4 linked regions of the Diceros bicornis minor genome follow. The protein of the gene in region 3 interacts with the protein of the main gene of each other region in a pairwise test. Links are inferred from orthologs where the notes say so. Each region holds a gene or a part of one and is shown on either strand. Other genes may lie near its edges. The genes, in order: SPP1, ATXN2, BAG6 and KLHL12.

Region 1 (7,840 bases), on a different chromosome or scaffold from region 3:
CTTTGGCTGTCCGTTTTTTGTCCTCTTTCTTTTGATTTTCTTCTGTTCTTCACTGAAATGGTGACTTTTTCATATCAACCTTACAATGGATTCTCTACTGAAATTACTCAAACATCAGATTTGAAATGAGAGTTCTCATAAGCTGATTTCAGAGAAGGCTTTTCTCCCCTCAAATACATTCCGCAAAATGCCTGTCGCTGGTTGCTTAGTGTGGCAAAACGTCTTTTCTGCACTAACAAGGGCCTGTGGCTGCTAGAATTTCTCCTTGTCCGTCCCTGCTGCTTCTACCTCCCCCTCTTCGGGTCCTCTCTGATTACAGGCTCCTGTACTGTCACCCTTGTTGCTGCAGATATAGAGCTCTATGCTGCTGGATTGATGTTGGATGGGCAGAGACAATTCCTGTTTGAGCCTATCCCAAAATACCCATCCCCTCAACTTCAGTGTAGACACAGGGTCTCCACCCTGTGCCTTCTCTGTCCGCAGCCCAATGAGTTTACTGTTTAATCACACCCTCTTAACCTCATGGGCTACTCAAGTTACAAATTTCTTAGTTGATTTTCATGAATCCATGGGCTCCATGAGGGTAAGAATGGTGCCATTTTAAGAAAAAAAAAGTAATAATTTAAGTCAACTTTAAAGAATCTATCATTTAAAGAGTGTTAGAATGCTCTTAGAGTTAGTGATAATACTTTGATAAAGAAATACTGCTAGATGGGCTTAGCAGTTAAGTGCACGTGCTCCATCCGATACTGGCGGCCCGGGTTCAGATCCCGGGCGCGCACCAACGCACCACTTGTCCGGCCATGCTGAGGCAGCATCCCACATACAGCAACTAGAAGGATGTGCAACTATGACATACAGCTATCTACTGGGGCTTTGGGGAGAAAAAGGGAAAAAAAAAAAAGAGGAGGATTGGCAATAGATGTTAGCTCAGGGCCTGTCTTCCTCAGCAAAAAAGAGGAGGATTGGCATGGATGTTAGCTCAGGGCTGATCCTCCTCACAAAAACCCAAAAAAAAAGAAAAAGAAATACTGCTAGATTCTTGAGTCCTGGTAAATATTAGCTATCAATATATGATATACAGATTCAAGCATAGTGCCCACACATTGTATTGATAATCAAGACCTATATGCTCAGAATTAGTTGTTATGGATGGAGAGTTGAGTGGTTAATCATTAACAATTTATCGAGTACTTACTTACTCTATAACAATTCTATGGGTCTAAAAAAGAAGCTTTTTTCTGTTGTTTTAAATGAAACTAATGTTTACCAATAGCGAGACCACTTTTTCAGGAGCTGAATTTTGTTGACTAAGTTATTGAGCAATGGGATAAAAAGTTTGATAGTGTTTCTCCTTTGTATTTCTGAAATGCTCTCATTTCATGTCTGAACTTAAAAACAGCACCCTGTTATCTTCCACCCTCGTTTCCCTCCCTCTAAGAAATAATGCCTTCTGCCCTAGACTTCAAATGATGAATACTGTAGTGGGCTTCTGATTGGCTATAATTCCCAACTTCTCTATGACAGATTGCTGATGGTGTCAAGACATCAGATTTTTATCTGAACCTTAATTCAGGGGAAAAAATAATTATTGACAGAGCTAAAAGGGTTGAAAAATTTGATTATACTTTACTCAGTAGAATATAAATAGAAATATCCAAATAAACTAGAAGTCAGTATAATAAAGTCCACCAAACAGTGACATCTGGACACGTAAATTTTCCCATTATATGAGAATTTTCATGTAATTCAAGAAAAAAATAAAATGTTCTTTATATATTTCCATATGTCCTCCTACGGCGTCTATATATATATATTTTTTTTTTTCTTTTGTGAGGGGATCAGCCCTGTGCTAACATCCGCCAATCCTCCTCTTTTTTTTGCCAAGGAAGACGGCCCTGGGCTAACATCCGTGCCCATCTTCCTCCACTTTATATGGGACGCCGCCACAGCATGGCTTGCCAAGCAGTGCGTTGGTGCGTGCCCAGGATCTGAACCAGCGAACCCCGGGCCGCCGCAGCAGAGCGCGTGCACTTAACCGCTTGCGCCACCGGGCCGGCCCCCTACAGTGTCTATATTTTATGACCACAAACCACTCTTCATTCTAGTTTAATAACTAAGCTTTTTCCTTTCGATATACAAGATTACAAGGAATTTGATCATTTCGACCTTTTGATTCTAACAACCAAGCATTAGCCTAATCAAGAATGAAACTAGTGTGGAAATGCTACAGATCAAGCTCTTCTGATTTAATCATTTAACATGTTAATTCTGACCGTTGGAAAATCCTTCTCAGAAAATGATGTCAGCAGCATGTTTGATTACAAAAAGCAAGAAGCATGAGCCTCTTCAAAACTCAGAGTGACACACTATCCATTTTATACTTTACAGCACTGCCTCCGTTACAAATCACTTGATCTTCTCATCTCTGAAGCATCCCAGACACATTCTTTAACCATGAATTCATAAGTCTTCACTCTGAGTGAGACCTCGGGATCAGTAACCTTTTGAGCGAGTGTGGGAAGTGGGGATGGAGACAATAGCATCCACCTGGCATTGCTGAAGGCCAGGACAGAGCAGAACAAGAATGCTTTGGTTCTCTTGGCCTCTCTGTTCCCCGTTATTGTGCAGCAGGTCATTGTTGGGAAATATTTCCTCACCTGGCATTCCAAGAAATGGAGGGCCCCATGGCTGTTTTATAGTTCTGTCATTAAATACGTGAATGCTCTATCCTTCCAGAATAAGAAAACTGACAGAACCAGATTGTGGTCTGAAATCCCTTTCAGAAACACTGCCATCGTGTGGCCCTTTGGAGCTATGACCGGAAGAGTCCTGGGCTGGGTCATTTGGTTCATCTCGAGATGGCTGGGCTCCAGCGAAATCTATTCCTATAACTCTCTAAGTTCATATTAAATCATTCCCGTGGGCACAGAGTAAACCATAGTGAATCTTGTGGAAATCTTGTTGTTTTTAGAATTTGTGCACTTCCCTCCACTGAACTGACAACATGACAAACTTCTGTGAGTGAGTAATGTGTTTAAAGACGAAAAAACACAGCTTTTAAAAGCAAATAAGTCTGTTTTGCAACTTTATAACCTGAGTGCTTTATATTTTACAGATAGCTGCCATCTGAACTATTAAAATGTGTGCTTAGAACCCGCAAATGAATTGTATCAATTCATTTGGAATGCATCCAATTTAAAAGAGACATATTTTTCCCCCACCGAATGTCCATAAAACCTATGGATTGGTTATACTACTAACACTGCAAGAAATTATTTAATCCATATTTATATTAAAAGCAGTATTTGGTCAATAGGAACTGACACCTTCGATAGAACTAATAATAAATGGGGCCATTTACCTTTAATCTCACTCCACACGTGATTCTTACAACGGCGCTCTGAGGTAATTGAGTAGTGCAATCTCCATTTCACAACTAAGAAAGGTAGATGAAGAGGTCAGGTAATCTCAAGACGATATTAAATATTTAGGATGGAGTCAGAACTATGCTACCTCTAGTTTCTGTTCCAATATTCAAATTCATCTGTAACTTTCTTTCATTCAAACAGCTTTTAAATATCCAGTAAAGTTTTTTAAATATAGAATTTTTTTAAATTTTCTTCCTAAGTAACCAACTTTATATATCCTGGAAGAAAAACTAGAAAAAGATGATTCAGAAAGAATCTAATCCATTCCTCTAGAAGTGTGTAAATTACACTATTGATGTACACAGTTTAAAGATCTTACGTCTAGTCTCATCCTAATAAACTATTCCATTTAAAGACTTTACAAATCAGGACTACCTGCTCCTCCTAAAAATTTTAGTAATAGTTAACACACACAGTGCTTAAAATATGCATATAATATGTGCCACTCATTGCTAGTTTTACCCATGCTAATTCATTTAAACCTCTCAGAAACACCAGGAGCTAGGTAATGGTGTGTGCGTGCGACAGGTGAAGACACAAGTACAGGTGGGCTCAGTGATTTGCCCAAGGTCACACCGCTAGTTAGTGGCAAAGTGGGATCCCAAGCCACACTCCAGCACACACAGCACTCTCAAGCAGTAGCCCTGCTCTCAGAAACTGCTTTACTTCCGCAGCCTTTACAGTCAATCACAATTCTTCTGTTTTATATAGCACGTTATCAGATTCATCATCTGCAAACAACTCAAACAATGCGACAAAAATCTACGTCCTTGAAAGGCCCTTATAAATCCAACTTAATGGGCATGAACGTGGATTTTAATGTTACTAATGCCGTTGGTCTAAATGACAAGCCGCTGCACGCTTGACGTCACAGAAACCCAGCTTGAATAGCAAAGGACGGAGGGACAGTCTCTGAACTCTTTGTACGCCTGAATGATAGCCGTGTAGCTCTTAAATAAGTATAACTATGAGGCAAATTTGGTTGCATATATTACCCTAATCTGTTATTTAAACCAAAAGAAACAAAAATCCGTTATATTTAATTTTATTTGGGACTGACACATTAATGCTTTTTCTTCTAATTCAGAAATTATAAAGTCTTTGTAAGAACTAGTCAATTTCCTCCCTTTTTTTGGGGACCCCTAGGTGCCCTTCCAGGATGCTGAAGATCAATCTCATAAATGAAAAAGCTAGTTTAATGATATTGTACCTAAGTAACATTTTAACTGTAGAGTAGTCTGTGTGTGTGTTTGCTTGTTTGTTTAACCACAAAACCAGAGGGGGAAGTGTGGGAGCAAGTGGGCTGGGCAGTGGCAAAAAACCTCATGACACATCTCTCCTCCTCCCTGTGTTGGTGGAGACCGTCTGGAGCAGCATTTAAATTCTGGGAGGGCCTGGCTGTGAGCAGCGAGGAGAGGAGGCCAGCAGTGCAGCATCATCTCGGACTGGCTCTTCTCAGCCAGCCACAGACCAAGGTAAGCCTGCAGTCTGCTACTTTGTTGCTGTCTTAAGCATTCAGTTTCATATCAGGGGGAAGGTCAAGTTGTAAGGAAAAGAGTTTAACTGGAAGGCTGTTAAGCAGACTACAATTGTTCTAGTCTTTTGAATAAACATGCCAAGATACATTGCAGATCTCCTGGAGGAAAGGTGACCAGCTATTTTAAAAGCCCGTTGAACATAAAACCTAAAAATATTTGCACTGAGTCCTCAAAAGAACTGAAAGTACCTCTTCCAGTCAGAAAAAAATTAAATTCGGTGTCTCTTTGGAATAATTATATCTATATCATTTTAAATGGATAGATGATTGTGGAGGTACTTAAAAGGACAAAGATCTTTAGTGCTAATATAAGCCAATGATAATGCTATTTTTTAATGATTTGATGTATCCTATTTTCAGGGAGGAAAAAAAACCCTTTCTGAATATTTTACATCTGTATTTACCTGTTAAAATTTTCACGAAAATACCTGTATGACACTCAGTAGACTTATCACAAACAGAAAAGCGGTTGACTGTTTTCAATGTTTTCTTTTTCATTTCAAATATCTAGAATACCTTACTTAAATCACCAACTTTAGAGACAGCTTTATTTCACTTAATTAGCACCTTTTTAATAATTGAAGTTAAAAATCACATTTGAAATGCATGCTGGAAAAATGGAGACAGCAAATTTCTTTCATAGCTTTATTTTCTCTCTCTCTGTGTTTTTCTTCTCTGAAAACTAAATATTTCCACACTAGCTTATTATTTTAATTAAATTGCTGTTGATCTATTTTTAGGTTTAGAAAGCTAGAGATATCAGATAGTAATGGGTTAATCTCTGGAACTCTAAATTTTAAAGTTGAATAAATATAATCTTGTAAATTTCCTCCCATCCTTGCCTAATAATGAGAGATGGAGAATAAAGGTGGCATTGCAAATATTAACTCAAAAGATCATAATATTAAAAAGGAAAGATTTCTCTAAAAAAGAGAAAATATTCTACAGAAAATATATTTTATTTGTGATTATTTTGTAATATGGTATCGTTAAAAGGTTATCACTGTTGTAACCTATGACGAGATCGAATATTCTTTACAAAATATTTTGCAGGAAAATTGCTACCATGAGAATTGCTGTGATTTGCTTATGCCTCTTAGGCATCGCCTATGCCCTTCCAGTGAGTACAGCTGAATCTTTTTAAAAAATTCTCAAAATAAATGAGTTGTATGCTGCCATGTGCTAGGAATGCATTCACATTGTAATCTCTTTTCATTGTTTCTGTTTCAAAGGTTCAACAGGCTAATTCTGGCAGCTCTGAGGAGAAGCTGGTAAGCGTCTTTTAGGTTCATCATCTAGTTAAGTTATTTATACATCTGCCGCAAGAAGCACTGCAAACACATTTGTTGCAATTTTACTTATTTTCATGGTCAAGGCTGTTAATTTATAAAGGTATTTATTGACTGCCTGCTTTCAATCTAGGCCAGTGCCGAGCACAATAAAGTGTTTAATAAGTATATACTCTTAAGACTGAGCTAGATTTTTTTATATAATAAAATAATGCTCCAGGCCATTATCACTTATGTAAAATGAGTTCTGTGAAGTTGTGTGGCTTTTTCTTTCCATGAGTCAATATGCTGTTCTAGAAGCAGAAAATTCCATCTTTTGTTTTCCTTAGCAGAAGGCTAAGTTTAAGATTCACCTCACATATTGGACAGTTTGTACGACTGTCATATTCACAATATCTCCTAAGATATTTGCTAAAAAGCCCACTATAAAATGAAAGTCTATTTATGCTGTTTGTATCTATTGTGCTTGTCAGCTGACTTTAGATCACATTTTTCTAACCGAACATAAGACCAAATCAAATTCTTCATTATAATTATTTGACCAGAACCATAGATGTACCTGCCCCTCCACAATAGGTGAAATAGTGCCAGCCAAACAACAAACGGGCATTGTCCCAAGGAGCTTGGACAAAAAGGCACACAGAGTTCAATTTCAAATGAACAGAACAAAAGCCAACAGAGAGCTGCCCGAGCTCACTGCAGTCGGAGCACTTAATGAAGACGTTCGGAGAGGTGTTGCTGTGTGTGTTTGGGTGTGCAAGTTGGTGTGTTTAGATGTGTCTGTTTTCCAATCGATTTAAGAACACAAATATCGGATCACAGTAATAAGCCAGAAAAATTAGCATTTCCAGATAAGATAGAGGTCACACTCTTTGAGGCAAGGGTTAGTGCCTTTTTCATAGAATAAAATACGGCACATGAAGCCATGGCAATATAAGTTATCAAATGATATTTAGGAGAGAAGTGAAGAGCTCAACCTTCTAGAATCCTGGAAATTTAGAGCTAGTAGGAACTATGGGAAAGTCGTAAATACATTCTCCCTGAGCCTAGATTACGTGTATCATCAGGAAATATATATATCTATATTTATTAAATATATATAAATTGTAATATTTATATATAATATTTATATAAATATTTATTTTAGAGAAAGAAACTTTGAACTCATCTGGACCAGTAGTTTTTGTACCTTTTTTGGGCAAGGAACCTCTTCTTTCAGAAAAAACTTTCAGAGAAGCCCCCCCATGGGGCTGGCTGTGGAAGCAACTCTGGGGAGCCCCCCGGACTCTTGTTCCCAAGGACGGGGACATGAAGCGATGGGCCCTGGATGACACAGCCCATCAGATGACACACATTGAGGGCAATTTCCACTCCTCTGCACTAGCATGTTATAATCACTTTCCAGATAAATGACTTGGCTAAAGGAAAAACCATTCCATTCATGTCTTGGACAGCTCAGAGAAATAGAACTTTTGTGGGATGATGTTAATATTTTATTTCTGCACTGTCCACTCAGATAGCCACTAGCCATATGTGGCTATTGAACACTCAAAATGTAGCTAGTGCATCTGAGGAACTGAATT
Region 2 (7,812 bases), on a different chromosome or scaffold from region 3:
CAAGTCCCTATTCTAAGTCTGATCTCTCCGGGGTTCCCTTGCGGGGTCTCCTGTAGCAAACTTAATAAGATCCCATGCTAATGCCCAGTTCAGCTGTCACTGGTACCGCGCACATCCATTTTAAATCCCCTCCTGCATTCTCCAAATGGCGCATACTTCAAATCTCTGGCTTTCCGTAAATCTGTGGGCCCTGAAATAACAGCCTGCCCACAAAATTTACCCCAAAAAGGGGGTGAATGAAAACAAAAAGGGAGAACCAGGAAGAACAAAAGGCTGAGTTTCTTTAAATTTCTAGCTCTGCACAGCACAAGCATTTCCAATGAAAAATAAAGAATTCTTTCTTCTGTGTCGATTTCAGCTGGCATCCAGCTTTTGCCTTGTGAATAATGTCACTGCATCATTATTCTGTCCCACAAGGTAAAAAACACTAAGCAACTTAACAACCAGAAGTGTGCTCGTGTGGAGGAAACGGCTCATTTAAAAGCTTTTCAAATAATGTTGCTGTGTTCCCTACTATTTTGCCACCCCCCCCTCAGTTTTTTCAAACCTATGGGAAAGTTGTTACTTTGCACACAAGGTGTGTACATAATGCCCTCCTGGAAGCACCCCACACTTTACACTTTCTCTTTTTTTTTTTTTATTGCTTTTAGCCTTTTGGGATTCCTGGAGTGTCTACAAATAGATTAGCCTCTAAGAATTCTGAGTAACCATGGTTAGAAAAAAACACTGGTTTAATTAGCCATGGTCCTATTTTTGAAATTACATCTGCTCTTTTTTTTTTTTTTTTTTTAAGTGAGGATTGGTCTATGCAAAAACTTGAAGAGGATGGATTTTGGGGGGGGTGCATGTTAGTTCTGATTTGAATTAATTTTCATGCTTTTGAAAGCAAAATCAAGAGTATTGAGTGAATAATGTATCATCATACATTAAACATGATCGAATGAAGAGAGCTGAAAAGAAATGATTGCAGAAAAATGAATTGCTGGAAATACTGGATCATCTGATGTGTGCTGCTGTATCGTGTGATAGCAAATGACTCTTCGCATTTCTGCTTTGCATGGCTACATCAGTTTTTCATCTCCACATCCTCAGACTTGATTAATCATTGAAGTGATGAAAATTAAAGGGCCATGTGCCTTGCTGAAGGGTCATTGAAAATCAGAAAGCAAGTAGAGAATCCATAAGACTAGATTCCCAAGTTTGAAAGTCTTTCTCTATATGTTTCTCACTTGATACTTTCATTTCTGAAATAGTGGTTGAAACGGCCACAGCTATTTTTGAAGTTTATATTTTAGAAATACTTCTCAATATCAGAACTCTTTCAGGACAGTGTTTTTCATGGCCTTTGATGACAACTCTTCAGCAACACTTGTTGGTTTTATTTATTTATTTTTAATAATTTTATTTATTTATTTATTTTTCCCCCAAGGCCCCAGTAGATAGTTGTATGTCATAGTTGCACATCCTTCTAGTTGCTGTATGTGGGACGTGGCCTCAGCATGGCCGGACATGCGGTGCGTCGGTGCGAGCCCGGGATCCAAACCCCGGGCCGCCAGCATCGGAGCGCGATCACTTAACCGATAAGCCACGGGGCCGGCCCAACACTTGTTGGTTTTAAACAAAACCAACAATGGCTGCCTGAAAATTGGGGCCGGGGGAAGCACTCAAAAATGTAACTTATACTGGATATACTATTAGTTCCTGACTTCATTTGTCTTTAAAGAATTCTGAATGCACATGGAAATCACCAGAAATGCACTTTTTTTTGGGGTCATCTGTATCAGTTATCTATTGCTGTGTAACAAATTCTCCTAAAACTTATTGACTGAAACAACAAAAGGGTTAGGAATCTGGCGTGGCTTAGCTGAGCATCTCTAGTTCAGGGTCTCTGGAAAGGCCTACTAAGGTGCTTCGATCAGGGTTGCAGTCACAACAAGGCTTGACGGGGGAGGGGGGGGGCGGGGGGGGGGGTGATCTGCTTCCAAGCTCACTCACCTGGCTGCTGGCCACCATCAGGTCCTTGCTGCTGTGGCTGGAGACGACAGTTCCTTACCATGTGGGCCTCTCCACAGGGCAGCTCACAACATGGCAGCCACCTTTCTTCAAAGCAAGTGAGTGAGAGAGGGCAGTCCAAAACAAAAGCCAGTCTTCTTTTCATATAAAACTAAAGCCCTCTGACATCACAGTTGCTGTTAAATAACCACATCTTCAGAGGTCTAGAATTCAGGTGAGGGGTTTGCAGTAAGAGATATTTTTTGGTTCTGGGTGGTGATCCTCCTTCCATAAAGAAAAATGGGGAAGTGTATAAAATAGAATAGATAGTAGAGGTTCTCTTGGTTTCCGTTTTAATATAAAAGCAGAAATCAAATTTTAATGATAAACCCTCAATATTTCAGGCGTGGATGTAAAATGGTATAGTCACTTTGGAAAAGAGTTTGATGGTATCTTAAAAAAGTTAAATATAAATTTACCATACTATCTAACATTCCATTTCTAGGCATCTACTCAAGAGAAATGAAAACATATGTCCACGTGAAGACATATGTTTACAAATGTTCATAGCAGCATTACTCAGAATAGCCCCAAACTTGAAACAACCTAAATGTCCACCAACTGGTGAATAGATATACAAAAAGTGATATATTCATACAATGGCATATTACATGGTGATAAAAAATAATGAAACACTGATACGTGCTACGATGTGGATAAACCTCAAAAACATGTGAAAGAAAGCAGACAAAGACCACCTATTGTAAGACTCCAATTATACGGAATGTCCAGAACAGATAAATCCATTGAGACAGGAAGTAGATTAGGGGTTGCTGGGGCTGAGGATGGGAACGAGGAGTCACTGCAAATGGGTATGAAGGATCCTTTTGGGGTGATGGAAATATTCTGAAATTAGTGATGATGGTTTCACAACCCTCTAAATTTTCTGAGAATCATTGAATTGTATACAAAATGGGTGAATTTCATAATATGTAAATTATGCCTCAATAAAACTGTTAACAATATATTTTCAGTGATAGTAGATGAAACTTTGAGCTTTCTCAGCGTAAATGAAATCAAGTTCAGCTACGTCAGCCTCAGGCCTTCTTATTCCACTTGTTTTTCCTCCCATTTGTCTGGAATTTGGTCCTGAGATTGAACTCTGGGACCTTGGTCCCAGATATAGCTGTCAAATAATTAAACCAGAGAAAGTTGATTGTACTTCTATTATGGCCCTTCTATTTTTTTTTTCCTCATCCGTTTTTTTAGTCTCAATTTCCTTTGGGTTAATTTTTAAAGGATTTTGCAAACGTTGGTTTAAAAGAATACTATTTTTTTTTTTTTTCCTTCAACCTCCTTTTACCTCATCTGGGAGAAAAGCTGATTTCCTACTTTTCAAGTGTTTGCAGAATATAATGATCATTTTTGCCTGAACTATCTTGGAGATTAATTTCAATTTGGCTACTGGAGACTCGTGGCTTAAGCATTCTCCAAATTTTTCTGTTTTTACCTTTATCTGACAATTCTGGGAGATTGAGGGGAATTTTGGTATTTTCCTCCTATTTCCTGAAGTCGTTACACTTTTTTAAAAAACTAGATTCCTTACTCAAAACAATCAAAAAGTTATCTACTTGCTTCCAGTTTAATTGCAACACAGTCAAAAAATGGACTACTGTGCTGGCTACCAACCTAAGTTAAAGTAAAACTAAAGGGGCCAAGGTCTAAAGCGCGCACCTTCTTGTGAGGTCTGTGCTGTCTCCACCGAAGGAGCCGCTATTATCCATAACTCTACCAATCATGTACATTTCCTTTTGAGTCTCAAGAATGAGGAAAAAGAAGTCCAAGTGAGGGGAAATGGGTTCAAATGAAGGTCAGATACCCAAAAGTTTTCCAGTTACTGTGTTACTGGGGTGAAAAAAGTGGGCAAAAGGTAACCAGATCTGGGTGGCCCCAGGAAGTGGCTCGATTCCAACACTGCCATTCTTGGTACAGAAAGAGAGGACAGCCTGCCTTTGAGACACCCAGTGACACGTGAGAGCCTACTGTGTGCCAGCTGCTGGGAATACAAAGAAAACTGTGGGATGCTTGTGTTCTAGGTGCTTTATACGGAGCAAGGCAGTCTGCGCCCAGAAAGCACTCCAGTCCATCCTCTAGGTTGCATCAGGTGGGGGCTGAGCAAGGTGTCTGTGCAGTGGCCGACACCTCCTGTTGCACACGGATAATATCTGAGTCTCCGTCTCGCTCTCTCAAATACGAGAGGGCGGACTCGGATTCTCCTAGCCGTGCGAGGACGTTGATGGACTATTGGGGGGCGGGAGGCGGGGAAGAAACGCTTCCCTCCGGTCCTCTACGCTAGGCCGGCCCTGCAGGCGAAGACAGACACGCCCTCTCTGAAAGGCAGACCCGCCTCGAGGAGGGCGGATCCGGCCAGGGCCGGCCGCCGGGCCCTCACCCGACCCCCGCGAACGCGGCCCAGCGCAGCGCCCGATCCTCACGTGTCCCTCCCGGCCCCGGGCCGCCTCACGTTCTGCTTCCGCCCGACCCTTCCGACTTCCGGTAAAGAATCCCCGTCCCGCACGTCCGCGCCCACCCGGCATCGCCACGCGGCGCCTCTGTGGGCCCGGCGCCCGATGCGCTCGGCGGCCGCAGCTCCTCGGAGCCCCACGGCGGCCCTCGAGCCTCGCCGCCTGGCCGCGGCCAGGTGGCCCGGGCGGCGCTCGCTCCCGCCGCCGGCGCGGCGGAGCGGGCGGGGCGGCGGCGGCGCGGCTCCGGGCCCGTATCCCTCCGCCGCCCCTCCCCCGCCCGGCCCCGGCCCCCCTCCCTCCGGGCAGCGCTCGCCTCCCTCCGCCTCAGACTGTTTTGGTAGCAACGGCAACGGCGGCGGCGCGGCCCGGCCCGGCTCCCGGCGGCTCCTCGGTTTCGGCGGGCCTCCCCGCCCCTTCGTCGTCGTCCTTCTCCCCTTCGCCGGCCCGGTCGCCCCCCCGGCCGCGCCAGCTCGCGCCTCCCCGCTCGGCGCCCGCGCGTCCCCGCCGCGCTCCGGCGTCTCCTCGGCGCGCCCGGCTCCCGGCTGTCCCCGCCCGGCGTGCGGGCCGGTGTATGGGCCCCTCACCATGTCGCTGAAGCCCCAGCAGCAGCAGCAGCAGCAGCCTGCGGCCGCCAATGCCCGCAAGCCCAGCGGCGGCCTTCTCACGTCGCCCGCCGCCGCGCCGCCGCCGTCCTCGTCCTCAGTCTCGTCGTCCTCGGCCGTGGCTTCCTCCTCCTCCTCCTCCTCCTCCTCCTCCGCGGCGGCGGCGGCGGCGGCGGCGGCGGCGAGCGCAGGCGGCGGCCGGCCCGGCCTGGGCAGGTGGGTGTCGCGCCCCAGCCCCCTCCGTTCCGAGCCGGCCTGGCTTCGCGTCCCCTCCCCCGCGGCCCGCACCGCCGTCCCCGCCCCGTGACCGGCCGGCCCGGGGGGGTGGGCTGGGGGCCCGCAGTGGGGGTGGGGCTCCCCTGCCGTCCAGAGCCGGGGGGGCGGGGGGTGGGGGTGCCGCCGGCTCCCTGTGAGAATGTCAGGCGGTGTCCGGCGTCCTGCAACATCCCCACCCCCTCCGCCGAACGGTCAAGATGGAAGGCCTGGGCCGCCTCCCCCTCTCGTTTAAGTGCTGGGGAGGGGGTCACAGGTCTCGGCGAGTGTCAGCTCTGTTATACCTTTCTCAAGCCTCCTCCGCCCCCGGGGGGGGATGCTTGGGCAGCGCCCCCACCCCCAGTTGGGATGTTAACGTGGAAGGGTCTTGAGGTTTTGGTTCCGTTTCCCGAAACTTGCCAACTCCCCCATTGGGGAATAACGAGGGAGGGGGGAGAGTTAGGGCAGCGTCCCCCCTGCCTGTTAAAGGGGCAGCCGCAGGGCTCCTCTGGAGTCTTGAGGGTCTGTGCAGTGTCCTTACCCACCCGCCTCCCCGCCCCGGGAAGATGGAAGGGCCAGGTTGAGGGGGTGGGCAGCGGCCCCCCGCACCCCTCCCCATTTAAGTCGCGGCGTCGGCGAGGCTCCAGAACTCCTCGGGAATCGTGGGGCTCTGTGCTGTCTCCCGCAGCGTCCCGCCCTCCCCACCTGAGGACGGGGTGGGGAGGCCCGGCCCCCGCCCGGCCTCCCTCCTTCCCCCGCGAGGCCTCCCCGGCGCGGGTGGCGGCCGAGCCGCATTGCTGCTCCGAGGCCGCGGAGGAGAAGTCGCCTTGGAATAGCGGTGGGCGAGGGTCGGACCCCGGCGTGCTGCAGAAGCCCAGCCGGACTGGGGACATTGTGGGGGGCGGGGGCAGGGAGCTGGCATGTTGCGCATTTTTCCCTAGCCCCCGCCCCAATTTTTGAAATTTCAAGGGGAGAGGGATTGCAGCAGGGGGCATCGTGGGGTTCCTGGAGGCAGAAATGCGGATGTTTACTTGCGTCGTCTCCCCCTCCTGCCCCCATAACCCAGGTTTGTGGTAGAGACCACTGGGGGCTCAGTGTCTTCTCAGCTAACCGGGTCTGACTCTGGCGGGTGTGTTTGTGCGGGAAGGCCTGTTGGGGGTGTGTGTGTGGGGGTGGTTGTCAGTTCGTATTTCACGAACTAGGAAAATGCTTAGTGTTCAAACGGGGCAACAAATGTCAATGGACTCCATTCCATTGTGGCCAGTGTCCTTAACTTGGGGAGTGCCGCCAGAGCTCTCCAAGGGCACGCGAGTCCATTTCCCCGGTGCCCCGGGGCCCATCCGTGTTGCATGGACTGCCATGCCTCCCTTAGGTCTAGGCGGGGTTGGCAGGGTCAGTAAAGAGGATCCTTCTTAAATAGACATTCTGGGCTTTAGAAGGTGGGGTAAGGGGATTTTTTCATGCAGTAAGTTTTGTTTTTGAAAACCGATTTTCAGCAATCCATTTCCAAAGAATTTTCATTTATGGCAGGAGAAGTTACCCATCAGGATGAATCAGAGCTGATTTTTAAGGAATTCTGCTGCCTTCGATGGGAGGAGGGGGAACATGGGTTTTTTGACTTGTGCTCTCCCCCCCACTCCCAGACTCCCCCTTCTCTGAAGCACCCACAGACTACTACCTAGTCAAACTACTTCAAATGAAGTGCTTATTTTCCCAGCTCTTTCCATTTAGGATTCTGCAACTCCATAGTGAAAAATGGAAAAATTTTATATGTAATTTTTATAGAAAAGGATGCACCATTTTTTCCTTCTTAGGTATCAGAAATCTGGCAGATATATTCAACTTGTTCAAATAATTAAAAATTAGAACTAAAGCTTTTACGTTGCATCCACTCTGGTTAGGCTTAAAAATTGTCAAGAATCTGTTCCAGAACGGCTGGAGTGATCAAAAATATTTGGAGTGTTGTAGCACCACAGATCTTTTTCTGTTCGTTGAGGCATCGCAAACATTTAGGGTTAATTTAGATTCCTCCTCCCTTTAAGTTCTTTTACTTGAGGCATAAATTGTGGCCCTTATTCTTTTTGGTAAATATGTGGGGTTTTTTTTTTAATGTATTGGATTCATATAATGTGAAATTTTGTTCTTGTACAGATCTTCAGTTAATATACTTGTAGAATTCCTTTCAATTTTGATCACTGTTACTGGGTTCTTTGTAAGCCATTACAGTTTCTAGAGTCTCACTTATGTTTGTATTAACAGTTAAAATAAGTTTCTGGGACCAAGGGTGAAGAAAGGAAGTGCAGCGTTGGGTTTGACATGGTTAGAGATGGCAAAATATTCTTGAAAGTCTAGAAATACACGTCTGCTTTAAATAATATAACGTCTCATCATATTTGATTCTTTTTGGTGAATAGTGCATTTTCTTGGCTTTCAAAAATTTA
Region 3 (7,807 bases):
AGGGTGGCTGACAGACCCAAAGGATCCCTTGGATCCTGGGATCTGAGCCATCCAGAGAAGAGTGGGGCTGTTAGTGGGGTGGAGTAGGGGGTCTGGATGGGAGCCCACAGGTGACAGGGAGTCCGCAGGGAGGATCTGTGGTGTTCCTGGGGAGCCAAAGGAAGTGGGGATGGTGCAGGCAGTGTGGCACGAAGGCCAGCTCAGAAGGGCTGGCAGCCTAGAGAACAGTGTGGGGAAGCACTGGAGCTTGCAGTTCCCACTCGGGGGTTGGGGGTTTGCTCACTTAGCAATAAATAACTGTGTCACACCAAATCCTAAATATACCACTACAAAGTGAGAGTTACCGCCACTCAGTGTCCTTCCTGACGCCGTCCAGCTGGAGGTTTAGATGGCAGAAGGTCCAGGGGGACTATTGAAATGGGAGTAGTGGGATTGATGTCTGGAGACAAATCCCAATGAGACCCTGATTGAAAATCTTTATTGAAATCCTTATTGAAAAATCATTTTTATTATTCTTCAAAGGGAGCTGGGAGTCTCCAGCTTCTCCTTCTCACCACAATCTCAACTCCCATCATATCCATCAGATGAAGCCACAGGTCAGTTACTGGAGAGCTCGCAGGCCTCTGGTGGGAGGAGGGAGAGAAAAAGAGGATGGAAAGGAAGGAAATCCAGGGAGATTCCCTCATTCCCTCATTCCCCTGTGTTGAGAAGGGATCTCTGAGGACTTTTTCCCTCCATGTCTGACCCTCTGCCCCCTTTATCCACGCAAACTCAGAAACCTCTCTTTTGAGTAGCCCAGAGCCCATCCTGGCTCCCTCAGGTGACATCACAGCTCTTGGCCACATCCCTCTGGTGCCATCACAGCCTGTGACACAAATGGAGGGTCAACACAGCCACTCTGATGATATCAGCCTTTGGCCATGCCCTCTGGTGACATCACTTGAGTCCCTTTCATCCAGCACCTGCAGAAGACTTGGTGAGTCCTAGTCCTCTACTGTGCGACTTTACCCCTCACCTTGATTCCTGGGAGTCAGTAAGAAGGCCTTGGAGTCCAGGCAGGAGGTCAGGGACCGGAATTCCTCCACACAGTTCTCAGGAGGGTGTGGCAAGCGATCTGGAAGGGCAAGGCAGGGCCAGGCCCATCAAAGCCCCTGCTTCTTAGCACTGCCCCTGGTGAGGACCTCATGGAAGCACCCAGCCCTTCCTGGGATGATGCGACAGGGCCCAGAGTGAGGAGCTCTCCTGTCCTCCCGTGTTTCCCTCCAATCCTTCCTGCCTGGCATCCCCACTCACTGTAGAGGAGGAAGCGCTGGTAACCCTGGCCCGTCTCTTTCAGCATGATTCCACCTGGGCATGAGCTAGAGAAGAGCTTGGTCTTCATGTCGGGGCGGCCTGTCAGGGTGGGTGAGGAGAAGTGTGAGGACCGAGATGCAAAACCAAGCAAGCCCAGAGGACTTGGGGAGAGTGAGGACTGGAGAGAACCAACCTTCGGTTCTGAGATCTGTGCTCCCCTCAGTCAGGTGGTAAATCCATCTCCGGGGCACACAGAGCCCATTTTTCCTGCAGAGGTGGTGGTGGCAAGGAGGCAAGACTGAGTGACACCCCAACCACACAGTACCAGCCTCTATTTATTCCATCTTATTCCTTCTTGAAGCCCGGGTCCCCTTGGGTTTCAAGCTACCAAGGGATGGTTAGGCCCATTTCTCTCCAGACTGAAACTAATAGAGCTGTTAAACTCAGAGGGCCAAGAATTGTGGATATGCCAAAGCACTCAGCTCTTTGTGGGTAGGTGCTCACACTTCAGGCAGAGACCGCACCTACTGGTGCCTCTGCCTCCTCACCACTCACGTGCGGATGGTAGCACGAAGCTGGAGCTGCTTGGGGGCAGAGTCTGCAGCCATGTTGAAGACAATGTTGTCCACAGGGTCAAAAGTCACCAACTCCTCCTTGGTGGGAGCTGCTCCTGCGATAAAGTACCACCGGCCCAGGTGGGGCTCTGGGAACTGGAGAGACAATAAGGGGAACAGAAGAGGGTGGGTCCCACTACAGGATCCATCCCATGTCTTCATCAGTCAGGATGGCAAGACGTAGAGGTGGAGATGTTGGCTGCCTTTTTCCAGTTGGGGGTTGGATCCATGACAGGGAGTCACTAAATGACTTTTCCTCTTTGCCCCTCCTCAATCAACCTGAGTAACCACCCCACCCCCCAGTTCTACCATGTCTCCACATTGATGGCCACAGTGTTAATATTTTTTTTACTTGTTCTTGCTTTCATCATCACAACACTCACACCCTCTTCCTCCCTCCTTTTCCCAACGTGGCTTCTGGTCATCCTAGGCCACCACTCAAGTCCCTCAGAGCCCCTACCATAAGTTTCTCCCATTCTCAGTCCATACCTCTTTCCCATCCACTCCCTGAGTTGTCAGTTGACTGTACTCAGGACACTGGTAGATGGAGTTAAGGAGAATGCCATAGAGGTAGAGGAGAGCTGCCCAAATTTGGTGGAACATCTTCAGGCAGGAGGCAGCTGGTGCTCTGCATAGAGTGGTGCCTTAACTGCTCTCTTCCCCCGCTGGCTGCTCAGTCCACTCTGCTTCCAGCCCCCTTGCCTCGACCCTTGACCCTTTCACCTGCTAATGAGTAACTTCAACCTTGTTTTCCAACCCAAGCCTGGATTAGTGTTTGGGCCTTCCTCCCCCTCCTCTAGATGCAACCACTCCACAATACACCCTGGCATGTCCAGGGTCTCTCAGGAATTATAAGGAGAGCTGAGCCCTCCAGGCAGAAGCCTGTGGTCTTTCAACCCATATCTGAGCTGGGTATCTGCTGTGTTGTGCAGCATCCAAGAGTGGTGGATTGATTCATTCATTCACTTAGCAAACTGTGTTGAGTCCCAGCTGTTTGCCAGGAACTGGCTAAGCCCTGGGGACATAAAAATGAATAAGACACAGTCCCTGGCCTTGAAGCAGTCAGTCTAAGGAAAACTAGCTGTGTAAACAAATCACTGCTGTACAACCTGGGAAGTGCTTTAGAACAGGTACAAACCACGTGCTGGGGCATGGTGGATAGGAGGCTTCCTCTCTGAAGTTTATAATTGAGGAAACAATATGTACGCTCTCCAGAAAAGTTTCCTGACACATAAGTGAATTCATTCACTCAACGTTTATTACTACAAGAGGCTATATAATCTAGTGGTTGAAGAGGACAGACATTGGTGTCAGGCATAGTGGGTCCAAACCCTAACTCTACTATTCATTAGATTTTGGACAATTTTATTAATCCTTATGCCTGTTTTTTCATCTGTGAAATGAGCAACTCATCAGTCTCATGGGATTAAAAAAGATAATGCACATAAAGCCCTTAGCAAAGGCCTGCACACGGTAAGTCCAAAGTAAATACTCTCTATAATTAATAGTAACGTTTGTAAAGCACTTATTACAGTTTCTGGTGGCTAATAAGTTTTCAAATAGGAGATAAGGAAAGAATTGTCAAGAGGCAGTCATTGGATAGTGCCAAGTGGGTGGAGCAGTTAATGCAATAAAAGGTGGGGCTTCCTTAATAGATTGTTTATAACCCACAGACTGCCAAAAAGAGATTTGTCCTGAGAGGTGAGGCTTGCTATGGGCTTGTGATTGAACAAAATTTGGGAGATGGGTATATCAGGATTCATTATACTATTCTATTTTGGGGTAATGTTTGACATTTTTTGATAATTAAAAACTAAAATACAACGATTTATTGGGACAGTAAAGTAGAAGTGCTTGACCCAGAGCGTGCTGGGCCTGGATCTGTCGGTTCTGCCACTTACGTTCGCCTAGGTGCACTCACCTATACAACGGATGTAGTAACTATCTCAGATGTTGAAAGGCTTTTAAATATGACTACGTAAATCTCTTAGCAAATCGGCGGGCGCAAACTAAGTGCTCACTAAACAGGTGCTTATCAGAACTCTTAACTGAAGCAGTACTGGGACCTGGGTATAAACTATAAAAAGGCAGGGCAAGGGAGTCAGGCACCCCGGCAGCGACGAGTCTGACTGGAAGAGTCGCAGCGCCTCGGGGTCGATGCCCTTGCCCGAGAGCGGGGGTGGGAGGAGAAGAGGGGAGAGAGGCGGTAACTACCTCGCCCCCGCAACCCCCGCCTGCGGAAGCCCCTTAGCAGCCCCTTCAATTCCCCGGAGTCAGTCTTGTGTTTCAGTCCAGTCTGACTCATTTGCTCCCGATTTCCAAACTCAGAAGCGCCCTTTTTTTTGACAAAAGTCCTGAAAGGTGGCAAATCCTTAGCTTCTCCAAAACATGGCGTGTCGCCTCAGCCGTGCACCGCCGGCGAGGAACATGGCGCCCACACTCCGCAAAACGCCCACCGGCAGGACCGAAGTCAGGCCCAACGACTTGATCGCACGCAGGACAGCTCGCGAACCACCTCCAACCGCCTACGGAAAGGGTGACTTCCGCAGGCGCCGAAGATTGGCGCAGCGAGGGCGACAGTGACAGGAAGACAGACTCTTAGGTGGCCAGGACAGTGCCGTATCAAATTCTCTGCCGGCCAAGACTTTAATATAGATTAACGAGGCACAATCCCCAGTATCCAAACTCCAACATCCACAGAACCGTCGGAAGCCTCGCGAGGCAGTCGTACAGTCCCATCTGGTAATTTTTTTTTTCAGGCATTTACAGTGCCCACCTTAACGTCCTATTGCTCGAGCGCGCGCGCAGGAGAAATGCACAGCTCCAGCGGGGGTGGGGCGGTGCCTAAGTGTGTACGCAGGCGCAGTGCCACGCACGCAGGCGCAGTACGGTCCCCCAGGCGACGGCGGCGGCGGCTCCTCGAGGGCTCGGCTCCTTCCCATCTAGGCCGGGCCCGGTCCGTCTTGCCCCCAGGAACTCACTGTTTGGGGCCGCGGACTTCCTGGTCGTGCCCCACAAAAGTAAAGCTTGGGGACCTAGGAGGAGCCGGAAGTACCGCCTCGCGATCCCCAAATACTATCGGGGAAACGGAAGTGGCCGTCGGTGGCAGGTTAGGGGAGACCGGAAGTGACGGTACCGTGGGGAAGTCGGGGGCGGAGCCGCGGAGTGGTGGGTGGGTGGGTGGGTGTGTGTGTGTGTTGGTTGCGCCGCTCTGCTGGAGCACCGAGGGAAAGCGGAAGAGGGGGGCAGTCAGCTAGCCGGTCTGGCCCCCCGTGAGTGTCGGTCATCTCCGGTCTGTGGTGACTTAGGCGCGTTCGATGGTCGTGGCGTAGCGCGCCTGCGCGAAACCACTTTCTCCGCAGTCTGGCGCGACCCTCTCACTCGCGTTGTTACAGGATTTGCCGACCTTTGGGGCCCTTGTCTTATCGCGACCGGTGATGACACTGGTCTCTTGCTTTCTTCCCTGCTTCCTATCCCGATTGGCCCTCCCTTATTGTGATTGGCATCGTGGAGCCCCTCCCACGTCCCGTTCCTCCAGCTCCTTGTGCCGTCGATCTCCTGCCCTTTGTGTTTCTCTCCCTGTGCCCCGGAATCAGAAGGGGGATGGGGGCGGGTGTGAGTGTGTGTGCTTGTGTGAGAGAAACCCTTTAGGTATTGGGGCGGAGACTCAGGCCGGGAGGCTTCCGGATATATAAAATCTGTTCTGGGCGACAGCGGGCCTCCCTCCTTCCATTCTTCCTTAGAGAGCTGTCGGCCATGGAGCCCAGTGATAGTACCAGTCTCACTATGGAAGAGCCTGACACCCTGGAGGTGCTGGTGAAGACCCTGGACTCTCAGACTCGGACGTTTATTGTGGGGGCCCAGGTGAGACCCCAGTACTTCTGTTAAGACACCTATTAACTCTTTCTCTTGTAGGCCCCTTAGCCTAAGAGAAGAGCCTGATTTTCTGGTCCTCAAAATTTCTTGCATTAATTTCTTTGTTCATATTCTAGGCAGAACATTTACTGATGTTTCTTGTTGAGTGAGAAGGTATGGTTTCTGTTGAATGAGGCAGATTTTGTTCTGTCTTCCTCCACCTCGATAGAACTCAATGCAGAGGGAAATATGGAGGAAGAAGGAATCTGTATGCTATCACCATAAGTGAACCCCAGACCAAGGGGCCAGACATGGCTTCTGCCTTTGGGAAGGGAAACAGGACACACAGACCCAAACGCAAGTGTGTCTTAAAAACAAAAATTGGTCGGGTCTATCCTGTGTTTTTAAAGGCTAGAAATCGGAGCCCCTAATGCAGGTAGAGCCCTAATAGACTGTTGAGTGGAATTACTAAGATTTCTGGCATAATTCCTATCTTTTGAGTTTAACACCATGGGGACATGCCATTACTCCTGTAATACTTGGAGACAAAATTGTGAGGAGTTGGTCCATGATTTTTAGAGCATGGTATTACATGTATTTAAGAAAACCGTATAAACTTTTTCAAGTAGATGTATGTAAATAGCCTGATACTTCCCAAGAATCAGTTGTCTAGTTAGTAAAACTTTTTTTGTTTTTTGCTCCCTTCTCTCTCTCTTCTTGGTTGAGTCTTCCTTCCTTGCCCTGATTCTCCACCCCATTTTCCTTGTCATTGCTTTTATCTTTGAGATTACAGAATTGTATCGTTTTGTGTTTGGGGAGGGGTCACCGGTGTCTTTAGACACACATTCCCCTGGGAGCCAGGTAGAGAAAGAGAAAAGAGAATGTCTCTTGGCTTTTCTGTTTCTTAGCTATGTAATTTTCTGCTAGGTGTATAACTTGAACTTTGCTAAGTTTATTGTCTGTATTTTGACCGCTGTTGTCTTAGTTTGGGGCTTTGCCCAATAATTACTTCACAAGTCAAATGGGTAGTGATTTTATGATGGGATGGTTTTTACCCCTTATCCCCACAAGTCAATTGTCCTTCTGTCCTTCTTCTTTCTTCCATCCCTTGATACCTATTCGTGTCTTTTCTTTGTTACAGATGAATGTAAAGGAGTTTAAGGAACACATTGCCGCCTCTGTCAGCATCCCTTCTGAGAAACAACGGCTCATCTACCAGGGCCGAGTTCTGCAGGATGATAAGAAGCTCCAAGAATACAGTAAGCGGGTGGGGAAGGCAGTTCAGAGGTTGAGGCAGCTGTCCAGAGGGATGAGCTGAGGCTGTGGGTTTACCTGCTCACATAATGTTTTGGTGTGTATCTTTTTTTTCTGCAGATGTTGGGGGAAAGGTTATCCACCTTGTGGAACGGGCTCCTCCTCAGACTCAGCTCCCTTCTGGGGCATCTTCTGGGACAGGGTCTGCCTCAGCCACCCATGGTGGGGGACCTTCCCCTGGTACTCGGGGGCCTGGGGCCTCTGTTCATGACCGGAATGCCAACAGCTATGTCATGGTTGGAACCTTCAATCTTCCTGTAAGCTTGTGTTCCATGTGGAAGAGTTTTTGTGGGGAAGGGTAGTTTTGGTTGTGGTAGCAAAGAGCTCATAAGACAGGTGTCCCAGTCTTTAGATTGGGTTTGTAGGCCCCTGTGGTCTGATAACGGCCTCAGTCTCTGAGGAGAAGAGGGTTGGGGCTCCAGAGAACGAGTTGGAAGTGTGGGGGCCTTAGTATTTGGCTTCTCCCAGAGCAACTTCCCTTACCCTTTCCCCAGAGTGACGGCTCTGCTGTGGATGTTCACATCAACATGGAACAGGCCCCGATTCAGGTATCACGGGGCCTGGGAGGGCCAGGGAAGGGGATCTGGGAGAAGGAGGCTGTGAGGTGGGGGTGGACCTGGCTGAGCAGATAGCTGGGACCTGGTTTGGTAGATGGTGGAGCTCATGGCTTCATCTCAAACCTGCCCTAATCTTCCCTCTCTTGTTGTAGAGTGAGCCCCGAGTACGGCTGC
Region 4 (7,623 bases), on a different chromosome or scaffold from region 3:
GGTGACCTGCAGGCCAGAAACGTTCACAAATGTTTTGTTTGGCCTGCACGGTGGCAACAATTGACTGCAGCTCAACAGCAGCTCTGTCCTTTAGAGAGGGCTTGTGCTCTCCAGGGCATCATTGTCCCTACCTAGTCTGCTTCACTCATTGGAGTCACCTGCCTGGCCCCTGTAGGCATCTGAGTTTGCAACCATTAGTATAGAACTGGAAGGAAACAGACACATCTGATCCAACTCCATGCATTTTCTACGTGAGGAAATACGGAGATCTGTAGCAATTGGTGAGGCTAGTGTGCACGTTTTCCCATCTTTCAGTAGTAGACAGGACCAGCGAGAGGATCTGAGAGGACATTTACTGAGCATCTACTTTGTACTTTTCACATGTCATTTTATACCTTTTTATCTTTAATCCTGTGAAATAGGTAGTATTATTCCATTCCACGTATGAAAAAATTAAGGTCCCAACAGACTTAAGACTTTTTTCCAAGACGAGACAGGATTAGAGCCAGTATCTGAATCCAGATCATTCTGATTTAGACCCCATGTTCTAAAGCCTCAGATCATTTAAAAATCCCTTTTGCTCCTGATTTCAGTATCTTCCCTTGTCTTTATCAGAACTGCTAACTAGCAACAAGTAAATATTACCTTCTTTCTGTAACTGCATACTGTCGATGCACATAATCCATAATCAGTCTATAAATCAAAATTGGGGTATTATAAGCCAAATTTGAGGACCATATAGCCCAGGGCCTTCCTTCCCCAAGGAAGGAAGGGCACCAAAGAAGTGGGGTGTACAGAATGGTTATATACTGTCAAAGAGCATGTATCACATATGATTGCAATGTCCCTTTTACAATAGTCACAAGATCGCCCTGCCAGATTGCCCTGTCAGCATAGAGATTGATGGACACAGCGGGTAGCAAGTCTGCTGTCTCAATGGGTGTGGCAGGTACCAGGTCTGTTGTCTCAAGTTGGGTGGTCACAGGATAAGAGCAGCAATCAAATCCTAGCCTAGGGAGAAATGCTTATCCTTAAGGAAATGCTGATGTGGGGGAAGTTGCATCTATACCTTAAGGACATTTGTTCTTGCCTTTGGGACATGTTAATTGCTTAAAGCAGATATACAATGAATGTTCAGAGGCCACAGGCCCCTTTTGGAAAAACAAGGTCAGGCCGAGAATCAGTTTTACACCAAATGGCTTCCTCATATGTTCCAATATATCCTATTGCTTGCCATTTATTTATCAAAACTTATGGTTCATTCACTTACTTCCTAAATACTTGAGGATCTGCTGTGTGCTAGGCACTACAGGAGAACAAGTAAATGATGACAGAAACACCGGTAGGCTGTGATTAAAGAAAGGCCAAGAATAAAAGGTAAGGATCTGACTCTACCCTCTTCCTATAAATAAATAAAAAATCAGGGGAGAGACTAACATCTCTATCTATAGAACATCCATTTTCAATTAAATAAAAAGAGAACTTTGGGAACCTTAGTAAACTCTTAAGTTATTACAAATGGATAAGATCCAAAGAATTTATTTTTTTTAATTTATTTTTTTCCCCCAAAGCCCCAGTAGATAGTTGTATGTCATAGCTGCACATCCTTCTAGTTGCTGTATGTGGGACGCAGCCTCAGTATGGCCGGAGAAGCAGTGCATCGCTGTGCGCCCGGGATCCGAACCCGGGCCGCCAGTAGCAGAGCGCGTGCACTTAACTGCTACGCCACAGGGCCGGCCCCCAAAGAAATTCTTAAATGCTCTGTTACTCTGGTCCTCGGGGAAGCATTCGCCAAGATGACATTAAATATGCAAGGATTTTATTAGAGGAAATGCTTATATGCAAAGAAAATATGCAGGGACCCAGAGAAGTTTGGGAGAGCCATCACACTGCAATGCAAGTCTGACCCCCATGAAGGAAATAAGGAGAGAAGGTCGGGAGAAGCGTCCTAGACTGCTTTGCAGTCCACGCAAGTTTTAGCAAAGCACTCTGTTTGAGAGAAGTCCTTGATCCAAAGTCTGCTGACAAAAGAGTCCCATAAAGGGACTCTTAAAGTCCCTTTATTATAAAGAGTCCCAAAAAGGACCCAGAAAAGGTCCACCTTAGTATCTCTGCTATGACCCATGGGGGCAGAAGCCAGCCCATATGAGGCATGATCTGGGCCTGAGTGCAAAATTGAGTGATGACTTTCAAAGCAGCAGCTGGGCCCCTGCCTTGATTACATTCAGTAATTAAGAGGTGTATTGTCATGTCTGCCACACTCTGGTGGCGCAAAAACGCAACGTATTCTGCCCAGCTGGTTTAGAGATTCGACCTATACTCTATGTACATGATCTAGAGCGCCAGGGCAAGTTCTGTTTTCCTTTACCAAAACCCTTGACAAGATATAAACACCCAGAATTTGGAGTGCCAGGTCCAAACCATCAAAGCAGGATTATGTATGGAAACTGACCAACTCACCTTATCCAGACCCAGCCCTCCAGAATGGACCTAAGAAACTCAGAGTTAAGTTTGGGCTGTAGTACTGGGTCGGATAGTCAAATGAATGAAAATATTCTTGTGTGGGAAGGATAGTGTCCGTGCCTTAAAGACCCAAAATATGCCAGGACTATACCACGAAACAGCCTGCGTCTTGGCTTTCTTGCTAATAGTTTCTCCATCTTTTATTATCTGGAAAAGAGGTGGGCATAATCTAAACAAAACCTCTTTTATTAAATGCCCTCTCATATTTGGAAAAATTCCCAATTTAGCAGCCAGGAATTAGGCAATATCATTAAAGTGCTATTTTGCATCCACAAATCAAGGGTTTATTTTTACTTTTTATTTAAATTGCTTGTTAGTACCAACGAGTCGATTCCGACTCCTAGCAACCTTTTGTATAGCAGAGTGGAGCCCTGCCCGAACTTTTTGAGCCATCCTCTCGCCTTCTGGCGCCATATCAGACACTGCTCTGCTGCTATTCATGGTCTTCATGGCCAATTTTGGGGGGAGTGGGTGGCCAGGTCCTTCTTCCTGGTCTGTCTTAGGTTGGAAGCTCTGCAGAAACCTGTCCACCATGGGTGACCCTGCTGGTATTTGAAATACGGGCAGCATAGCTTTCAGCATCACAGTAACACCTAGCTGCCAAAGTACCGACAGACAGGTAGTGTGGTTCCCTGACCAGGAAACAAACAGGGCTGCAGTGGTGAGAGCGCAGAATCTTAACCACTAGAGCCCCAGGGCTATTTAAATTGCACATATTTTTAATTCATATAATGAAAACTTCAAAAGGCACAAAAAGATATAGAGGGAAAAATCTCCTTCCCACTGTCTCCCCACCAACCAGTTCCTCTCTCCGAAGAAACCAGTGTTAACACTTTATTTTGTATCTTTCCAAATGCATTTTATACATATACTAGCAAATACGAATATTTATATTTTGCCAACATTTTACACAAATAATGGCAAACTATACACACTGTTTACAACCTCACGGTATCGGATTGTACGGATGTACCATACTTTATTGATCCAGTCCCCTACTGATAGACATTAAGGTAGTTTTTAATCTAATCTACAAACGACCTTGCACACACATTATTTTATGAATGCACGAGTATATACGAAGGATAAAATTATAAAAATCGCTCAAAGGATATCTGCATTCATAATTTTGGTGAACTTTTCCAAAATGCCCCCAATAGAATTTGTACCAATCCTGCACTCCCACTCACCCTGTGTAAATCAGGGATAATGTTAGATCAGAGACAGATGATAGGAAATTTAGAAACACTAGGTAAAATTAGATTGCTATCCACTTGGCTATGGTTTTATTATCGCTAAAGAATCAAAGGCGTCACAGAGGAAAACAGTATAATCAAACACGATTAGTTTGTACGTTTACATCAGTTGAACCAAGGAACCTCATTCCCTTCCGAGCCTCTAAGAAAAGTGCGCCAAAATCGATTAGAAGCAAAAACGCTCAGCACCCATGAGCTAGCGAAAAGTCAGCAGAAGAGGAAGATGAGGACTACTGGGACTTCTAAGAAGACTCACAACGTCTAACCCCTGGTGACCACGAGTTCCTTCCACTTAATTGTCTGGGAGTGCAAGAGGCAGAGGACATGACCTCAGGAGTGACGACCGGCCCCTCGCGATGTGGAGAAGGCTGAGGTGAGCGGAGCGCAAGGCTCGGAGGATTCTCACCGCAGCGGTGGTCGCCTGAAAAGGGGCAACGCAGACACGGACTTGAAGCAATCTGAAGACCCGGGGGTTTTCTCGACGTGAGAAGGTTCCCGAACACCTGGCAGGTAGCACAGACTCCCTGCAGTGAACTCCTCAGCCTAGAAATCTGTGGGATCCTCTCAAGCGGCCTGCGTCGTGACCCCAAGAGTACCTCAGTCTCGGCCGCTCTCCAAGCGGGCGGGCCGCCCTCCGCCCACCTGCCGTTCGCTTCCTGTCCCGGGCTGGAAACCCGGGCCTGCGGGCACCGCGACGCCCCCCTCACGTGACGCAGAGGGAACGGAAGGGGCGGACCTCGTGCTGCGTACGTCATCAAGCTGCGCGGCCGCGGGGACCTGGTGACGGCTCCGGAGCCTGGGGCCGGGGTGGCGGTGGCGGCGGCGGCGGCGGCGGCGGCGGCGGCGCTTGGGCTCCACTTGGGCCCCCTGCTGGCCCCCAGCCTGTTCCCACGGACGAGGCGCGGCCGGCGCGGGGTGGGCCGGGAGCGGAGGTGAGTGCGCGGAGCCGGGGCCGCCGCCTCCTCCCGTCCCTCGACTCCAGCATGGGTGCTCCGCCCTCGGTCGGAACGGGAGAGATGCGCCCCGGGCCTCTGCCTGGGTGTCGGGGCGGAGACCGCCTTTCCCTCCCTCCTGCCTGGGGTTGAGCCTTCCCTGAGCTCGACACCGCTCCCCTCCCCGAGTCTCCTAGGGCGGAACCCTCGGATGTTCGCGCAAGTTCTAGAATAGATCGCCTCGGGAAGGTGAGGCGAGGCAGGAATCCCCGGGGAGGAGAGCCTGGAGGCTGCAAAGGCGGGTCATAGGCTGAGCCCTGCCATAATCCGCAGCAAGTCCTCACACTGCCTCAGTGTGCGTGTCTTAGACCTTCTTACCAGAGTTGAAACTAAGTAGGCTTAAGGAAAATCTTTTTGAAAAACGTCATCTGCTTTGATGAATCATCCTTTTCTGTAAAATGTATCTTGCACAGTTGTTGGAGGGATTACCTGGAGTGCTTGTAGGATAATATGCTAACTGTAAACAGGAGTAGATGAGAATTTAGGGTCTCGTTTTTACTATTCAAAAATTACCGTTGTGGGTTGTGGACTCTTGAAGAACGTCGTTTGATTTTTTTTTTCCCTTAGATCATTGAAGAAAGTTTGGATTCCAGATAAGATAGACTCTTAGTAACCACGGTATTTTACTCCCCAGAAATTGTGTTTGACGCAAAAAAAGAAAAAAATAGTGTGTCTAAAGCCTGTCAACAATCAAGAAAATACTTCTTAAATTGGTTTTTTGATACGTGATCTCTTACTGAGTTCATTTAGTTGATGCATACAAGTGAACTTTGCAAGTGACCAGCTATGGTAGTAAAATCAGTGGTGGAGTTTTGATAGGTTTCTATCCTAATGAGGCTCTCTGTTTCAGTATAGAAGAATTACTACAGCTGTTGATTTGTTAATGTTGATGGACATTTACTAATAAGATAGAGTAGGAAGACCCCCTCTATAGCAGAGCTTCAATAATGTGAGAGAAAGTCTGTGGATAAGCTTGCATGGTTTCCATTACTCAGTGTAGGTACCGGGTCTTCATTTGAAGTGTAATTTTAAGAAGAAATCCAGATATAGTTGGAAATCATCTTAAATAATTCCTTGCCTACTTCATTAGAAAAAAGTCCATTTTCAGTGACCCTTTATTGCTCGTAGTTGAATACACAATTTTTCTTTTGTTGCATTGAACTACTAGACATTCATTGTACACCTGCTAGCGTAGAAAAAATATGTAAAACGGGATCCCCATCCTCTACGTACGTACGTACTTAATCTTATGGATGGATGTTAAATAATACTGATATCACACTTTTAAGAAATTTTATCTTTTCATCATTTTATCATTTGAGACAACAGCCTTGTAAAGATGCAGGACATGTGAAGTTTCTGTTTGCAATACAGTTGAGTATTGATTATAATAAATGTCAAGTGGTAGGTGTGCTCAGTAATAGCAGAATTCAGAAGAAGAAGAGATCCTTTTTACTTGGGATAGTTAGTAGCTATATTGTGGCGGTAATGCCAGGAATAGCAGTGTTCTCTACTGGTGGGTGTTTGGGTCTGAGGAAGCCTCCTTAATTTGTAAAGCTAATTGAATATATTCAGTCTCCCCAGTCCTTCAGATATGCTCATTTTTTTTTTTTTGTACTTGTAGAATCCAAGGACACCTTTCATTCCTTCTCCATATTGCTTGATGGGAGGCACTATGGCCCCCAAAGACATAATGACAAATACTCATGCTAAATCCATCCTCAATTCAATGAACTCCCTCAGGAAGAGCAATACCCTCTGTGATGTGACATTGAGAGTAGAGCAGAAGGACTTCCCTGCCCATCGGATTGTGCTGGCTGCCTGTAGTGACTACTTCTGTGCCATGTTCACCAGTGAGGTAAGTGGTAAGTTATCCCCTCACAAATGACAGTCACACATGTAACCTTGTAATTGCCTCATTTTACTGAATAAAACGGTAGAAGTTTGATGTAGTAGTGAATTTCTATAGTATGGTGGTTAAATGGGCAGGCTCTGGATAAGATCTGCCACTTGGCCATGCCTTAGTTTCCTCATCTCTACGTGGGATAGTAGGAATGCACAATAACGTGGTTATTGTGACGGTTATTTGAGAACATTACATATAAAGTGCTTAGAACAGTGTCTAGAATGTGGTAAAACACAAATGTCAGCTATTGGATTTTAGTTACTGTTTTTAATTTTGTTTTCCTGTTTTGCTCCTTCTAACGTTTAATATTTTAAAGTGAATACCAGGGGGATAGAGAGGAGGGAAGGGAACAGAAGGGATTCAGTGCTCTTCCCCCTCCTCCTAACGATATTGAAGAAAATTGGTATTCACTCTACTAGTGTAGGTTTTAGAGTTATCTCGAATGAGAGGAGGAGGACTTGATGAATGACTGTGTCGGCATATGGAGGATAACTTGGAAAGAGATGCTGACTCTGGAGGATATACAATTAAAAGGAATTAGGAAAAGGCTGGCTTGACAAGAAAAAAGGTAGTGCTCACAAAGCGTTAAGAAAGACTGCCTTAGTAATTGGCAGAACATTTAAAATGTAGAGTAAAGCTGTTGAATACATTGTGAGCTGCTCCTAGAAAGCTGAACAGAGCAGAAGACTGCAACTTTTTTATTTTTCAAGATCTCAAGTCTGATTTTTAAATTTTAAATAAATTATCTTGATTTTTTCTTAAGCTTGAGCTGTGAGTACACCAGTGTTTATTAGATCATTTATCTACATTTATACATATGCTTGAAATATTTCATTGTGGTAACACTTTTTTTCTTTTTAACCACCAATATGGTCTTCAGTTGGTCCCAACACCTCAGTGAAGATGTTGCTGCTGGATTTGAATAGAAGAGCTAGTGTCGTAATAA

Evidence for each region.
Region 1: the proteins of BAG6 (region 3) and SPP1 interact in binary tests that used the Homo sapiens proteins (3 or more experiments, as listed by UniProt). The link is inferred for Diceros bicornis minor from reciprocal best matches to the Homo sapiens genes BAG6 and SPP1.
Region 2: the proteins of BAG6 (region 3) and ATXN2 interact in binary tests that used the Homo sapiens proteins (3 or more experiments, as listed by UniProt). The link is inferred for Diceros bicornis minor from reciprocal best matches to the Homo sapiens genes BAG6 and ATXN2.
Region 4: the proteins of BAG6 (region 3) and KLHL12 interact in binary tests that used the Homo sapiens proteins (3 or more experiments, as listed by UniProt). The two-hybrid records come from large-scale screens. The link is inferred for Diceros bicornis minor from reciprocal best matches to the Homo sapiens genes BAG6 and KLHL12.

Annotation. Positions count from the first base shown.
Region 1 is NC_080747.1:71,991,774-71,999,613, forward strand, and holds the start of SPP1 (osteopontin), read left to right. Parts: upstream 1-4,826; 5' UTR 4,827-4,906; intron 4,907-6,021; 5' UTR 6,022-6,034; coding exon 6,035-6,088; intron 6,089-6,200; coding exon 6,201-6,239; intron 6,240-7,840. UniProt on the Homo sapiens protein: Major non-collagenous bone protein that binds tightly to hydroxyapatite. Appears to form an integral part of the mineralized matrix. Probably important to cell-matrix interaction.
Region 2 is NC_080774.1:9,832,711-9,840,522, reverse strand, and holds the start of ATXN2 (ataxin-2), read left to right. Parts: upstream 1-4,812; 5' UTR 4,813-5,102; coding exon 5,103-5,335; intron 5,336-7,812. UniProt on the Homo sapiens protein: Involved in EGFR trafficking, acting as negative regulator of endocytic EGFR internalization at the plasma membrane.
Region 3 is NC_080753.1:33,107,177-33,114,983, forward strand, and holds the start of BAG6 (large proline-rich protein BAG6), read left to right. Parts: upstream 1-4,804; 5' UTR 4,805-5,016; exon of another isoform or gene 5,017-5,039; intron 5,040-5,065; exon of another isoform or gene 5,066-5,079; intron 5,080-5,112; exon of another isoform or gene 5,113-5,179; intron 5,180-5,650; 5' UTR 5,651-5,663; coding exon 5,664-5,771; intron 5,772-6,903; coding exon 6,904-7,021; intron 7,022-7,136; coding exon 7,137-7,333; intron 7,334-7,570; coding exon 7,571-7,624; intron 7,625-7,785; coding exon 7,786-7,807. Other genes in the region: APOM (apolipoprotein M), read right to left, coding at 598-623, 1,016-1,114, 1,294-1,392, 1,487-1,560, 1,849-2,003, 2,397-2,510. UniProt on the Homo sapiens protein: ATP-independent molecular chaperone preventing the aggregation of misfolded and hydrophobic patches-containing proteins.
Region 4 is NC_080777.1:30,938,122-30,945,744, reverse strand, and holds the start of KLHL12 (kelch-like protein 12), read left to right. Parts: upstream 1-4,612; 5' UTR 4,613-4,711; intron 4,712-4,781; exon of another isoform or gene 4,782-4,960; intron 4,961-6,395; 5' UTR 6,396-6,434; coding exon 6,435-6,629; intron 6,630-7,623. UniProt on the Homo sapiens protein: Substrate-specific adapter of a BCR (BTB-CUL3-RBX1) E3 ubiquitin ligase complex that acts as a negative regulator of Wnt signaling pathway and ER-Golgi transport.